Oryza sativa Japonica Group: one gene and its partners. The protein of the gene in region 3 interacts with the protein of the main gene of each other region in a pairwise test. Links are inferred from orthologs where the notes say so. Each region holds a gene or a part of one and is shown on either strand. Other genes may lie near its edges.

The links. The genes of interacting proteins can lie anywhere in the genome.
Region 1: the proteins of protein TRANSPARENT TESTA GLABRA 1 (region 3) and two-component response regulator-like PRR1 interact in binary tests that used the Arabidopsis thaliana proteins (3 or more experiments, as listed by UniProt). The link is inferred for Oryza sativa Japonica Group from reciprocal best matches to the Arabidopsis thaliana genes TTG1 and TOC1.
Region 2: the proteins of protein TRANSPARENT TESTA GLABRA 1 (region 3) and transcription factor MYBS3 interact in binary tests that used the Arabidopsis thaliana proteins (3 or more experiments, as listed by UniProt). The link is inferred for Oryza sativa Japonica Group from reciprocal best matches to the Arabidopsis thaliana genes TTG1 and AT5G47390.

What each region holds. Positions count from the first base shown.
Region 1 is NC_089036.1:25,050,812-25,054,825, forward strand, and holds the start of two-component response regulator-like PRR1, read left to right. Parts: upstream 1-1,206; 5' UTR 1,207-1,832; coding exon 1,833-1,992; intron 1,993-2,123; coding exon 2,124-2,285; intron 2,286-2,369; coding exon 2,370-2,503; intron 2,504-2,627; coding exon 2,628-2,795; intron 2,796-3,000; coding exon 3,001-3,082; intron 3,083-3,181; coding exon 3,182-4,014. UniProt on the Arabidopsis thaliana protein: Controls photoperiodic flowering response. Component of the circadian clock. Expression of several members of the ARR-like family is controlled by circadian rhythm.
Region 2 is NC_089044.1:22,820,949-22,825,197, reverse strand, and holds the start of transcription factor MYBS3, read left to right. Parts: upstream 1-1,441; 5' UTR 1,442-1,577; coding exon 1,578-1,854; intron 1,855-3,385; coding exon 3,386-3,594; intron 3,595-3,873; coding exon 3,874-4,249. UniProt on the Arabidopsis thaliana protein: Transcriptional repressor. Direct regulator of the transcription of peroxidase (Prxs) and reactive oxygen species (ROS)-related genes via the recognition of 5'-ATCACA-3' motif.
Region 3 is NC_089036.1:28,395,262-28,399,314, forward strand, and holds the start of protein TRANSPARENT TESTA GLABRA 1, read right to left. Parts: upstream 2,806-4,053; 5' UTR 2,610-2,805; coding exon 1,542-2,609; 3' UTR 1,538-1,541; intron 330-1,537; 3' UTR 1-329. Other genes in the region: mitochondrial import inner membrane translocase subunit Tim13, read right to left, coding at 3,308-3,457.

The DNA.
Region 1 (4,014 bases), about 3.3 Mb from region 3:
ACTGTCAGAACAACTTATTGCTGATAGTAGTAGCTTTGGGTGACTTTCAAGCCTGTATGCAGCACTACTCTAGCTAATAACTCATTTTGTATGATTTCATTGGTAGCAATAAATATGATTAGTGCGTCCTGTGAATGAGACTGATGACATCGGCACTCCAAGCTCCTGCTACTGGCTGCCAGCCTGCCTCCAGATTTTTGAGATCGAGATGTTGTTGTGTCGTCACTGATACCAACCATCCACTCCTCTCGGTGGAAGAAATACAGCCAGTGAACTGGAGGAAACACCCTTCGTCAAAATGATTGTTTTGCCTGGCCATAGTTCAGAGCTGCAATCAAAAATCTTGGTTGTGTTTACCATTCTGCTGAATTACTGAATTACAGCGCTGGTAACAGATCAGTAAACAAACGACAGCGCTGTTAACGCTAAACCCATTTTGCAGCATCGCTGATTTGCTGCCGGAGCCCGGAGGCCACCACGTACATCGCCAGTGGCAAACAAGAAAAGCAAAGCTACAGAAAAAGCGCTAGGCCGGCGCCACGAGCCGCCACCACAAGTCCACGACCAGTCGCTCTCCGGATCGGCGTAGTGGCAATGGGCATCCCAAGTTGCCAACACGGGGAAAAAAAAAACACCCCCCATCCAGCTGCTGCTCTCTACCGGCCACTCGTCTCGTCCGGTAGCTCAAAATCTTTTACTCATCAGCCCAGCCACCACCGTATCGCCATGCTGCCCATCAAGGTCTGTACTACGTGAAAACGTGAGAGCCGCGTTTCCCTCTGGATTTTTCTCCGCCTTGGCACGTCCGCGGTGGGCTGGCGCGGCTTTCGTCGTGATCCGCAACGGAGGGCGGGGACGCGGCCACCGTGGACGCCGCCGCACGTACGTGGGCGTGGCGCTCCCACTCCCACGGCACCACCACGGCACCACCTCCCTCCGCCTCTCGCGTCGTCGTTTCCACAGTACTACTACAGTAGCGCGTCTCCCTGGCGTTCGTTCGCTGGCCCCCAGCTCGCGCGCGTGGCGGCTCCCGTATCGCACGGCCACGGCCCCACCACGCCCGCCGCCCCTAATCGCATCCGCGATTAAGATATTTCCGTGCCAGGTAGGCGTAGATATTTTCTCACCGAAATCACACGCCGCCAGGCCGGGCCCATCTGGCTTAACCACGCCCGGCTCTTCCCCTCCATCCAACCTGGCCCTCCCACCCACGGGGCCGCGGCTCGCGGCTCGTCCCGTCCCGTCCCGTGACGAATCCATTGACACCGGCACACGCACACGCACACCCGCACCGCGCGACGCGAGTACGCGACACAAACCGCTCGCGACGAGCCGTTTCGTTTATTTTTACACCGCCCCGGCGCGGCGTGACGAGGCCTTTTCTTCTTTCTTTCATCTCTCGCCGAGCCGAGCCGAGCCGAGCCGCGTGCCCCACCGAGAGAGGAAAGCAAAAGGTAGGGGGAGGAAAATATCCTGTGCCAGTAGAGCGGACACCAACGCCGCCACCACCACCGCCGCCGCCTCCTGAATAGATTAGGCGCGGATAATGGTGCGGGCCGGACCGCAACGCGCGGCGGAGGAGGACGCCGCCGGCGTCGGCGGCGGGTGGCGGCGGTAGCACACTGCTTAGCCTCTGGGGGCGATACTACTGGCGACGGCACGGGATATGGAGGAGGAGGCGCCGCCCGCAGATCCAACAACCGCTTCGTCCTCCTGCGTCGTCTAGTCTAGGCGCCGGCAGCTGCTGCTGGCTGCTGTGCTGTTCGTGCTGATTCGGACGCGTCGGCAGCTGGTGACAAGTGGCTAGGGGGGGAATCCGTGCGGGTCGGGGTATGGTGGGCGCCGGCGAGGGGGATCGCGTTGGCGGCGGGGCGGCGGTAGGGGGAGGGCAGCAGTTCGTGGACCGGAGCAAGGTGAGGATTCTGCTCTGCGACAGCGACCCAAGTAGCTCACGGGAGGTGCTCCGCCTCCTCTGCAACTGCTCATACCAAGGTCAGTTCAGCTTTGTCTGCTTAGTATTTGGTTTGCTCTTATAATTAAGGATTAAGATTGCTTTAGTAGATGAATTAGCAGTTCTATCACACCTTCTCGCATGGAATGATACGTCTTTGTTTTTGTTTCAGTGACTTGCGCCAAGTCTCCGAGGCAGGTGATCAACGTACTCAACTGCGAGGCGGGGGAGATCGACATCATCTTGGCCGAGGTCGATCTGCCCGTCTCCAAGTGCTTCAAGATGCTCAAATACATCGCCAGGAACAAGGAATTGCGCCACATCCCCATCATAAGTAAGCTGTCCTCCTATTCCTCTGATGCCCATGCTCGTAGGGTTGTTGTAGTGACCATCCTCATCTTTGATGCGAATTATGCAGTGATGTCCAACAGAGACGAGGTCTCTGTTGTTGTCAAGTGCTTGCGTCTCGGGGCAGCCGAGTACCTGGTCAAGCCACTGCGCATGAACGAGCTGCTGAACCTCTGGACCCATGTGTGGCGGCGAAGGCGGATGGTAAAGGGGACTATGTTGATTCATCTTCAAATTCTGTGTTGAAAAGCATGCTCTAAGCTGAGATGGCTGTGGCGTTGCTGTAGCGTGTATGAGTTGATCTTAAGTTGAATGTTGGTGTTGGCAGCTTGGTTTGTCGGAGAAAAACTTCTTCAATGACAATTTCGAGTTGGCGTTATCGGAACCTAGTGACGCCAATACCAACAGCACCACTCTTCTCTCGGATGACACAGATGATAAGCCAAAAGAAAACATTAATCAAGAAACAAGCACCTCGAATCAACATGAATATGAGGTAACCAATCAAGTACTAGTTATCCTTTTATATTTTGCTGTCCAACATACTACTTCTCTATTTAGTATCTTTCTACCTTTGTGTTCTGTTTAGATGCTAGAGCATGCCTTTTTGCCTCATATGTTCAATTGATGATGATAAGATGCTGAATTTTTTGCATCAGTCTACTTGTTAAATGCCCTTGCATTTCTTGATATGTTTGCAGTCTAATCCTTCTGATGCTGAGCCTAAACAAAAAGGCACACCAGAGGGTTTACTAGTCTCTACTGAAGGCGGCGACCAAGCTTGTAAGTATCTTGAGCCTTAAACCATTTCCTTTAGCTGATTTAGCAGATCCCCCAATTGAAGAATAGTTTCTAAGGTTTATGCCTTTGCTTTTATGCCAGCATCTCCCGGAGTAATGTTTTCACGTCCAATAAAGACTAACTTGAGGGTTGCTGAGTCTTCTGCTTTTCTAGCTTATGTTAAGTCAAGCACCCCAACTACCAGCTCATTTGACAGCGAACTACAAAAAGGTGGAAATCGGTTAGACTCTTCGGATCACAGGGGTAATTTCTCTAGTACAACTGACAGAAGTGACACTGGCACTGATGTAAATATTCGGGATAAAGAAGCCTTTGAGATGCCAGTGCAATACCCTGTGGTATGCTTTTCTTCCTCTAACTTGCATCTGGAGCGAAGCAATGAAGGCCAAAATGATGCTTCAGGAACTCCTCCTGTATATCATTTTCCCTTTTATTACCCAGGGATGATGGACCACGGTATGACACATCCTCCGGTGCAAAATTTCCAAGGGAACATAAACAACGCTCAAGTGCATACACCACAAACGTTGCTCCCTCAGTATAATGTTTATCCCCAATGTCATGGTGTATCTATGATGCCACCATTTCAGTATAATCCTGCTGGTATGAGCATTCAATCAAATCAACTGCCAACACAAAATATGTGGCCACAGGCATCAAGCACACCAATGCCCGAGGAAACATGTAGTCGGTCTGAACGGAGAGCTGCAGCACTTGCCAAATTCAGGCTGAAAAGGAAGGAACGTTGTTTTGACAAGAAGGTGAGGTACGTGAATAGGAAGAAACTTGCTGAAACAAGGCCGAGGGTGCGAGGGCAATTTGTTAGACAGGCAAACTATACAGATATAACCAGCACTGGAGATGATATCTCAGAAGATGAAGATGATGATCCATCCTCCAGGGAGGTAGAGATG
Region 2 (4,249 bases), on a different chromosome or scaffold from region 3:
GCAACAAACTAAATGTAGCTACTTTTTTAAGTAACTTTGCCAAAACTTGATAAGGTTGAAAATGATAGCAAACTGAACAAGCCTCGATTTATGCTTGCAGAAAGAGTGAGTGCACATTTTAGGTCCCATGAAATACATACACGTACATAGCTATCAGCGTGTCCTCGTAATACACATTCAAATAGCATCAATAATTCCTTTCCCTTACTCTATAGGAAGCATAATTCCTTATATAGAGTATAGGTTGATGCATATATAAACGAATCATAGCATACCACATGACACTAACTTGATAAAGGTTGTATAATCTTTAGACTCAACATCTACTATAAAGACGCATATTTATGGACCTCGTGGATGGACTCCACCATCATATTAATATTGTCTCTCCAATAGGATCGATAGGTAAAAATGTCATTAGCATTATTGTCTTCTAATGTGAAACAAAGTGAGCGTTCTACAAAAATATTTGACATCCTCGTGTTGGAGTTCAAATTTACAATCTCAATGCTTTAGCCTATACAAAATCACCTATGTAGAATTGTAATCTCACCGACCTGCTTGAGATGCCATTGGTGTTAATTTTCTCCTTTTGTTTCTTCCTTCTCTTCTTCTTCGGTTTCTTTTCTTCTCTTCTTTTTTCATCACCGAGGGCTTCCCGAGATCACCTCACGAATCCTTTCTAGTGCAAGTTTTAGGGTTTAGGCAAAGAGTACGACATCCCTTCTCCTTTGCCTTTCATCTCTTTATATAGGCGCTGGTGGGGCTCGAGGGTTATCTCCAATTTGGTTAGGAATTAGTTCTACTGTTCACAAAACTAACTCTCCGTCTTTAGGAATCAGATACGTGTGATTTATCTTCCTTATCTAGCTGGCATTTAGCTGATAAAATCAACCAAAACCTGGTATTGATAGTTATAGTGAGACAAACCTCTAATCCTCAACTATTCAGGATTTACGTTCACCCGTGGCACATTAGGGTTACATGGTACACCAAGAAGCAACACATTTAGAATCCATAAACTTTTTGGCGTAGAATAATCCGTGCATTTTTCATCTTTAGTTAACGTCTGTTTAGTTACGAGTAGAAGAGTTAAACCAGACCATGACATCGCTCAAAAGAAAAAAAACAAGAAAAGAAAGAAAGACCACGACAGTTTGACGAGCTAGCAGCGAGAGAGAGTTTGTTGGGGGCCGTTTGCTGTGGATCGTTCACCAGTCACCACACGAAACGATCGAAGCAGAGGCTGAGGCTGAGGAGAGCAGCCGAAGGAAGGAAGCCCAACCGCGTGGACGGATAGAAAGAAGGCGTGACCCACAAGCCGCCGCTACTTGCCTCCCTCGTCTCACGTATATCCCCTTCCCCCGAATATCCGCCACGTGGACGGCCCTCGCCTCTCTCCGACCACCTTAACCAATCACCACACAGCAGTTAACCCCTCTCCTCCCCTTCCTCTTCTCCCCCCTCCCTCTCCTCGTCGTCTCCACCACCACCATCTCCGTCTCCACTCGATCGATCGATCGATCTCCATAGGTGGGGGAAGGGAAGCTTTGGAAGGTGGAGGGACGGAGGGGGGGATGACGAGGCGGTGCTCGCACTGCAGCCACAACGGGCACAACTCGCGGACGTGCCCCAACCGCGGGGTCAAGATCTTCGGGGTGCGCCTCACCGATGGCTCCATCCGCAAGAGCGCCAGCATGGGGAACCTCTCCCTCCTCTCCTCCGCCGCCGGATCCACCAGCGGCGGCGCCTCCCCCGCCGACGGCCCCGACGCCGCCCCCACCGCCGCCGACGGCTACGCCTCCGACGACTTCGTCCAGGGCTCCTCCTCCGCCACCCGCGACCGCAAGAAGGGTCAGCCCCCCCCCTTCTTCTTCTTTCCCAACCCCTTAATTTCAATGATTTAATCATCCCAAAAACCATTCTGGCCTGATGCGACTTACTAGATCCTCTCCAACCTCAGGTTTTTCTTCTTCTTGTGCTTCTTTTTTTATTATTATTCCTACTAGTATGTTCTTCTTCCTTTGCTGCTTCGGCGTGTAGATTTGGGAGATTTGATGGAGTACTGCTACTAGCAGTCACTGCTAGTTGTTTCTTCCAAGTAGGACAGACGCTAGAGAAAGCATTTAATGGGCAGATTGTACTGATGGTCATGGATGAGTGATTTGGTACTACTTAGCTCATGCATACGCCACTCCACTTCAATTAATTACTCTCGGTACAAGGACGGCGTATAGATGCCTCCAACTGTTTGATGAGATCACAAGGACGTTTTGTCAAACTCATGCTCAGCTCCATATTTGTCTAGGATAAGTAAGAATTTAGAATCAGACCAGATCGTTCCAACGAGTAATGATGGCTGATCCTGTGGAACTTTTTAATTTGATCCTTTGCCTCTGCAAGGATGCATGGGGCCACGTGTTCTGAGAGGATAACAGTGTCGAATTAGGGATTTTGTGAGTGGCTGGTAACTAGGCTCAGTGTTCTCATGTTTAGACACCCGATCATCGGAGATTGGAACCTATGATTGCGTACGGTGTTGTTAGCTCTGTTCTGATTCAGAATGATTTCTAGTTTACTGCGTAGTTATATTCGCGGTGTTGGTCCAAGAAAAGTCTTCCAAGCTGTCAGCTTTCAAAACCCAAGAACCTTCCTAATGGCATGCCTATGTTAATGTGTGAAAGCTTCAAAGCAGCACGTGATTGTTTGATCTTTACTGTGGCAGTAGTTCCTACTGTAACGGCCTTACTAGAGGTCATGCCATTGGTAGACTGCGTTGTCATTGCCTCATTAACTTGTACTTCCATCCAAATTTGATGCTTGGAGTGCAGTTTTAGACTTATATGCCTACTGACTTAAATGTATTGGAAAAGTCAAAAGTATATGTTTGTCCTTTATCAATTTGTAATGAAAGGCACTAAATTGGATAAAAGAAATCGCCTTGAAATGTACAATTTGCTATTCTTTTGACATTTATTCTGTTAAGAGGATTATGCCAGATTGACAATGTTTTAATCTTGTTAACCTTCTGCATAACTTGTTAAGGTGGCAAAAGACATAAAATTTGTCTCTTTCCCTTTTATGTTCTGGCATTTCTCTTGGAATCTCATAGAATCCTTTTACTTTTTAAGATTGGAGTCCTCTCTCTGTGCGCCCTGTTTCTTAGGAACGGGCTCTTTTTTGGGCTGGATAATTTTCCTTTGGTGATAGGCAGTACTGTTATTTTGTGTAGTAGTCCCAAGTTTGTTGGTATTTTTGTCAGTATATGATGGGAGCTTAACTATTACAGTTCTCCAGCTTCTTGTACTCCAGTCATTACTCGCTACCTGCGTGCCTGCAGGCCACATTCTGTGTGCCATGTTTCTGATTAAGATGACTTTGACAGGTGTTCCTTGGACTGAAGAAGAACACCGGAGGTTTTTGCTTGGATTGCAAAAGCTTGGCAAAGGTGATTGGCGAGGAATCTCTCGTAATTTCGTGGTCTCAAGAACACCTACTCAAGTAGCCAGTCATGCTCAGAAATATTTTATACGCCAATCCAATATGACCAGAAGGAAAAGAAGGTCTAGCCTTTTTGACATGGTGCCAGATGAGGTAGCTTGCTTGATCTTATTTCGATTATTGTGCTGATATTGGCATGTAGCATAATAAGCCTGCCTGGGTCTATTCTTATATTGAGACGAGGAGATTGCTCATTTGTGTGGTGATAGATATCATATTGCTAAAACTTATCTTTTTGAACAAATTGTGTAGTTTATTTATGTATTGCATGAAGACTTGAGAACACTTTTATCCTTGTTCGAATTAGAAAGGTTGTACTGTTTTCTCTGTACTCTAATGGGGGAACTGAACTGTGTTTTGGTGGTTTTACAGTCTATGGACCTTCCACCACTTCCTGGAGGTCAAGAACCAGAGACCCAAGTATTAAATCAACCAGCACTACCTCCACCGAGGGAGGAGGAGGAGGTAGATTCTATGGAGTCAGATACTTCTGCCGTTGCAGAGAGCTCTTCCGCTTCTGCTATCATGCCAGATAATTTGCAGTCGACCTATCCAGTGATTGTTCCAGCTTATTTCTCGCCCTTTTTGCAATTCTCGGTTCCTTTCTGGCAAAATCAGAAAGATGAAGATGGTCCTGTGCAAGAAACACATGAGATTGTCAAGCCTGTTCCAGTTCATTCAAAGAGCCCAATCAACGTTGATGAGCTTGTTGGCATGTCGAAGCTCAGCATAGGAGAGTCCAATCAAG
Region 3 (4,053 bases):
ATGAATAGCACAGCACGAGCAGAAAAACGAAAATGACTACAGGACTAAATGCAGGAGCAGTGAGCAGTCCATCTATCCATTCATCAGCTGATTCTTGTACTGGCAGGCTAGTATCTATATTTCTATGTTCACAACACAGATAACTTCCACAAAGTTCAAGTTAAAGCTGGCCACAAGATCAATCCTTGCTGCAAGTTTCATGCTTTCCGTAGCTTAGCAGGAGAGTAGAGTAATGAATATATCAAGAGATCACCAACATAAGACACATGTGAACTGATGGAATAGAAGAAACGCCAAGGCTTCAGAGTCGAACATCCTTCAGAAAACATCTGCATGGCAAAAAAGGGGGTTTCATATCAAATGTACAGGGTTACTACATCGATAATAGACAAAGGTTAAGATGATTCACAAGACATTAGAAATGCTAGGCAGCTGAAGGAGAAGTTAAATATTTTCGAAGTAGAACATAATCAAATTCCATGCCATGTTCCATTGATGTCCCAGTTGTGAAGCGATTTGAACATTGCTTGGATTGCGAAATTTGGCGGTATGTCATGCTGGCATTAAAGAATATATCATCTAAGCAAATAAAATGCAGCTTGCACCAGAGAAGAGTAAGCAGGGAGGCCTAGGAATTGTTGTATGGGCTTTATGTTTATACAGATAGATTAAACAATCTGCTGCAAAAAATATCAAATTACTCAATATAGAATTAGAACTGTTGGGACTAAGATTAAAAGAAACATATATATTACAAGGACACTGACATAGACAATAATATCCAGAAACAGTATCTGAAGTGCGAGTACGGTAGGATAAATGGCAGTCAGACATACTAGGTTCTGCTTCTAGTTAGCGCTTCTTATTTGATGTTGAACAAAATACCTTGTTGGCTCTTGTTGTGATGGGAATTTACACCTTGTAAACAGAATAATGAAAAGAATGGAGCATAGTCTAAATCTGTTTTTTTTTTCCATCAACAGTCAGAATATAACTTACGATCATAAATAGACACAAGTCCAGGACATCAAGAAAATAAGAAGATTTCATCTAATCCTGGTCAGTGCTGACTAACATTGAGGGAAGGGGCAGAGGAGGTGGTACAATCACAGGATGAAATAATGGACAAATGAAGGTGACAAAGTGTCATAAAAAGTGCTTGTGTGCTGATTGATGTTTCGATTTGGTTTGAACCGATAACCTTTGTTCAGTTGGTGCAAGTACAACACCACTATAATAATCATGCCTTCTAGTTTGTATGGAAATGAGGCATCTTGTATTGTCGATCATTCCAGAAACATATCCACCAGACAGTTCATCACAAATTGAGTTCACCCAACAATATTAGGAAATTCTAACCTTTATAGGACTGATGAATGAGGTTACTTTTGCAGTATAATGTAGAAGCTTCTGATAAATCAAATTCAACAATCCCAAAATCTAATACTAATGTTTAGAATCAGCATTATTCAATCTTAAAAATATTATGCTATGAATCAATAGACTATTTGAACCATGAAGGGCCAAAGGAACCAACCTCGTCAGACCCTGAGAAGCTGGACCTTGTTCTCAAAGGCAATCGATATCCACTCCGGGTAAGCTGCCGCCCATTGCAGTTGGTTTATCTCTGCACCGGCATCATACACCATCACAGGATCAATCCCCTCGGCCGGCACTGCGCCGGGCGTCGCTGGCAGCTCCCAAATCAGCGCTTGGCCGTCGTCCCCAGCCGAGCAAAGGTGCCTCGTGGCCTGTGGCGCCCAAGCGACCGCGTTGGCGCACGCCCGGTGTCTGTGTAGTTCGGCCACCGGCACCCCGGGCGCGCGCATGTCGAGCACGACGACGGCGCTGCTGTCCATGAGCAGGGTGGCCATGTAGTGGAAGTCATAGCGGTTCCATGCCAGCCTGAGGAGCGGCGTGTCCGGGCGGGGGCTCTCGTAGAAGATGGTGGAATGCTCCTTGTCCCGGAGGTCGAAGACGCGGACGGAGCCGTCGGCTGAGACGGAGGCGAAGATGCCGTTCTCCCCCCAGGCGATGTCGTGCACGGCCTTGTCGTGCGCGATGAGCTGCGTCTCGACGACGCCGCGCTCGATGTCCCAGATGGTGCAGGTGGTGTCGATGGAGGCGGTCCCGATGCGGCGGGGCTCGGCCTCGTTCCAGTCGAAGGAGGTGAGGGGGGCGCAGAACTCGGAGGCGGATGTCTTGCGGTTGTCGAGGACGGAGCGGAGCTCGGGCGCGGCGGCGGTGGCGGTGGCGGCGAGATCGTCGAGCGGGGCAAGCCAGAGCCGCAGCGCGTCGGAGGAGGAGGCGAGGAGGTGGGGCGCGGAGGCGGCGCGCGGGTGGAACTGGAGCTTGGTGGGCGGGTAGGGGTGGTCGAAGGAGAGCGCGGGGAGGGCGCGGAAGGAGGCGGCGGTGGGGTGGACGGGGTCGAAGGAGAGGAGGGAGACGCGGTTGTGGAGGTCCTCGAGGAAGCTGCCGGCGGCGAGGACGGGCGCGGAGGGGGAGAAGGCCAGCGCGTAGATGGAGTGCGGCAGCTCGCAGGTGAAGGCGTTCGGGTTCTGCGCCTCCGCCGCCGAGGCGGCTACCGACGGCGGCTTGGGCTGCTCCATGGGAAAAATCGTTGGATTCGCTTCGCTTTGCTTCCTTTCTTTCTCGGGTGGATTTGGGGATGAATGGACTCACGCGCCGCGGTGGTTGATCGGGTCGGGGAGTTCAGAGTAAAAAACGCGAGCAGCCAGGCCGAGCAGGTAGGAGGGACGGCGAAGGAGGAGGCGCGTCAACGCGCGCGTGCCACGGCAACCGGCCGGTAAACGTCAGCTCGGCACGAGGGTTGAACGGGCGACGATGCGGGCATGCGGCCGCCGGGCTGCTGCAGTTGGTGGCCGCCTGAAGCTGATTCAACGGTGGGGCCAGACCGTCAGTGACTTATAGTCAAAGCTGGTTTCGACTTTCGACTGGAATCAGTTTAACTTAAACAGGATGTACTCATTTACTCAACCAGCCTCTCATGAGTTCTTGAGCAACCGGCAGGACAGGTCAGTCCTCTCAAGCAATGCAAACGATGCTACTACCATCAGGATAGGGTAGTGCCCCATGGGGAACAAAAGAAACAAACAGTTAAGAGAAACTGCAAGGCAGAATTTGCGGCTTTTAACAGCTGAAAACCAGCTTAGCTAATAGTTGCCACTTAATTAATATAAAGGTTGCTCTCTTTCTCACAGATTAGAAAGGCAAAAATAACGAGTCTAGGAAAAACATTTTTCCCCAATTCTGATTTAAGCAGCAACTGAAGGCTACACATCGTCGCTCAGCGTGTGGAACTGAACAGAGCTCGGCTGACAATACCAGTTGCCTCAATGTAACGATCAACACAGCGTGATATGCAACTGCTCTCGCTCCCGCTCAAGCTTGATCCTGGCTTTGTCACGCACTTGGCAAAGCACTTGTTTCCAACAGTCTGTAACAACAAAACAAGAGAGAATTACAACCATGTCATGTGTTTAACAAAGAAGCAATGCCTGGAATTGGCATGTTTTATTTCAAACACTACCCTTTTTCTCATGTAATCTGTATTACATATATGTCATGTAAACCAACAGTGGCAGAATCACTTGATCAGCAAGACTAAGGGTGAGTTTGAGGAGAAGGTGATTGAGGAGATTGGGAAGATACGTAAAACGAGGTGAGCCATTAGCTCATGATTAATTGAGTATTAATTATTTTAAATTTCAAAAATGGATTAATATGATTTTTAAAAGCAACTTTCCTATAGGAAATTTTTACAAAAAACGCACCATTTAGTAATTTGGAAAGCGTGCGCGCGGAAAACGAGATGTTATCTCCCTCAATGTTACCCGAACGAACGCAGCCTAATTACTCATATGTCAAACTTCGTAGTAATAGTGTAGCAACAGGAAGGGTCAACTTCAATGCTAACTTTGTGAACACATATTTTACCTTTCTGGTCGTGGCAGGCCAGCACAAGTTAATAGTTCTGACTCTATGTTGAGTTCAAATATATAATGAACACAGAAGTGAAAGACATACAAAATG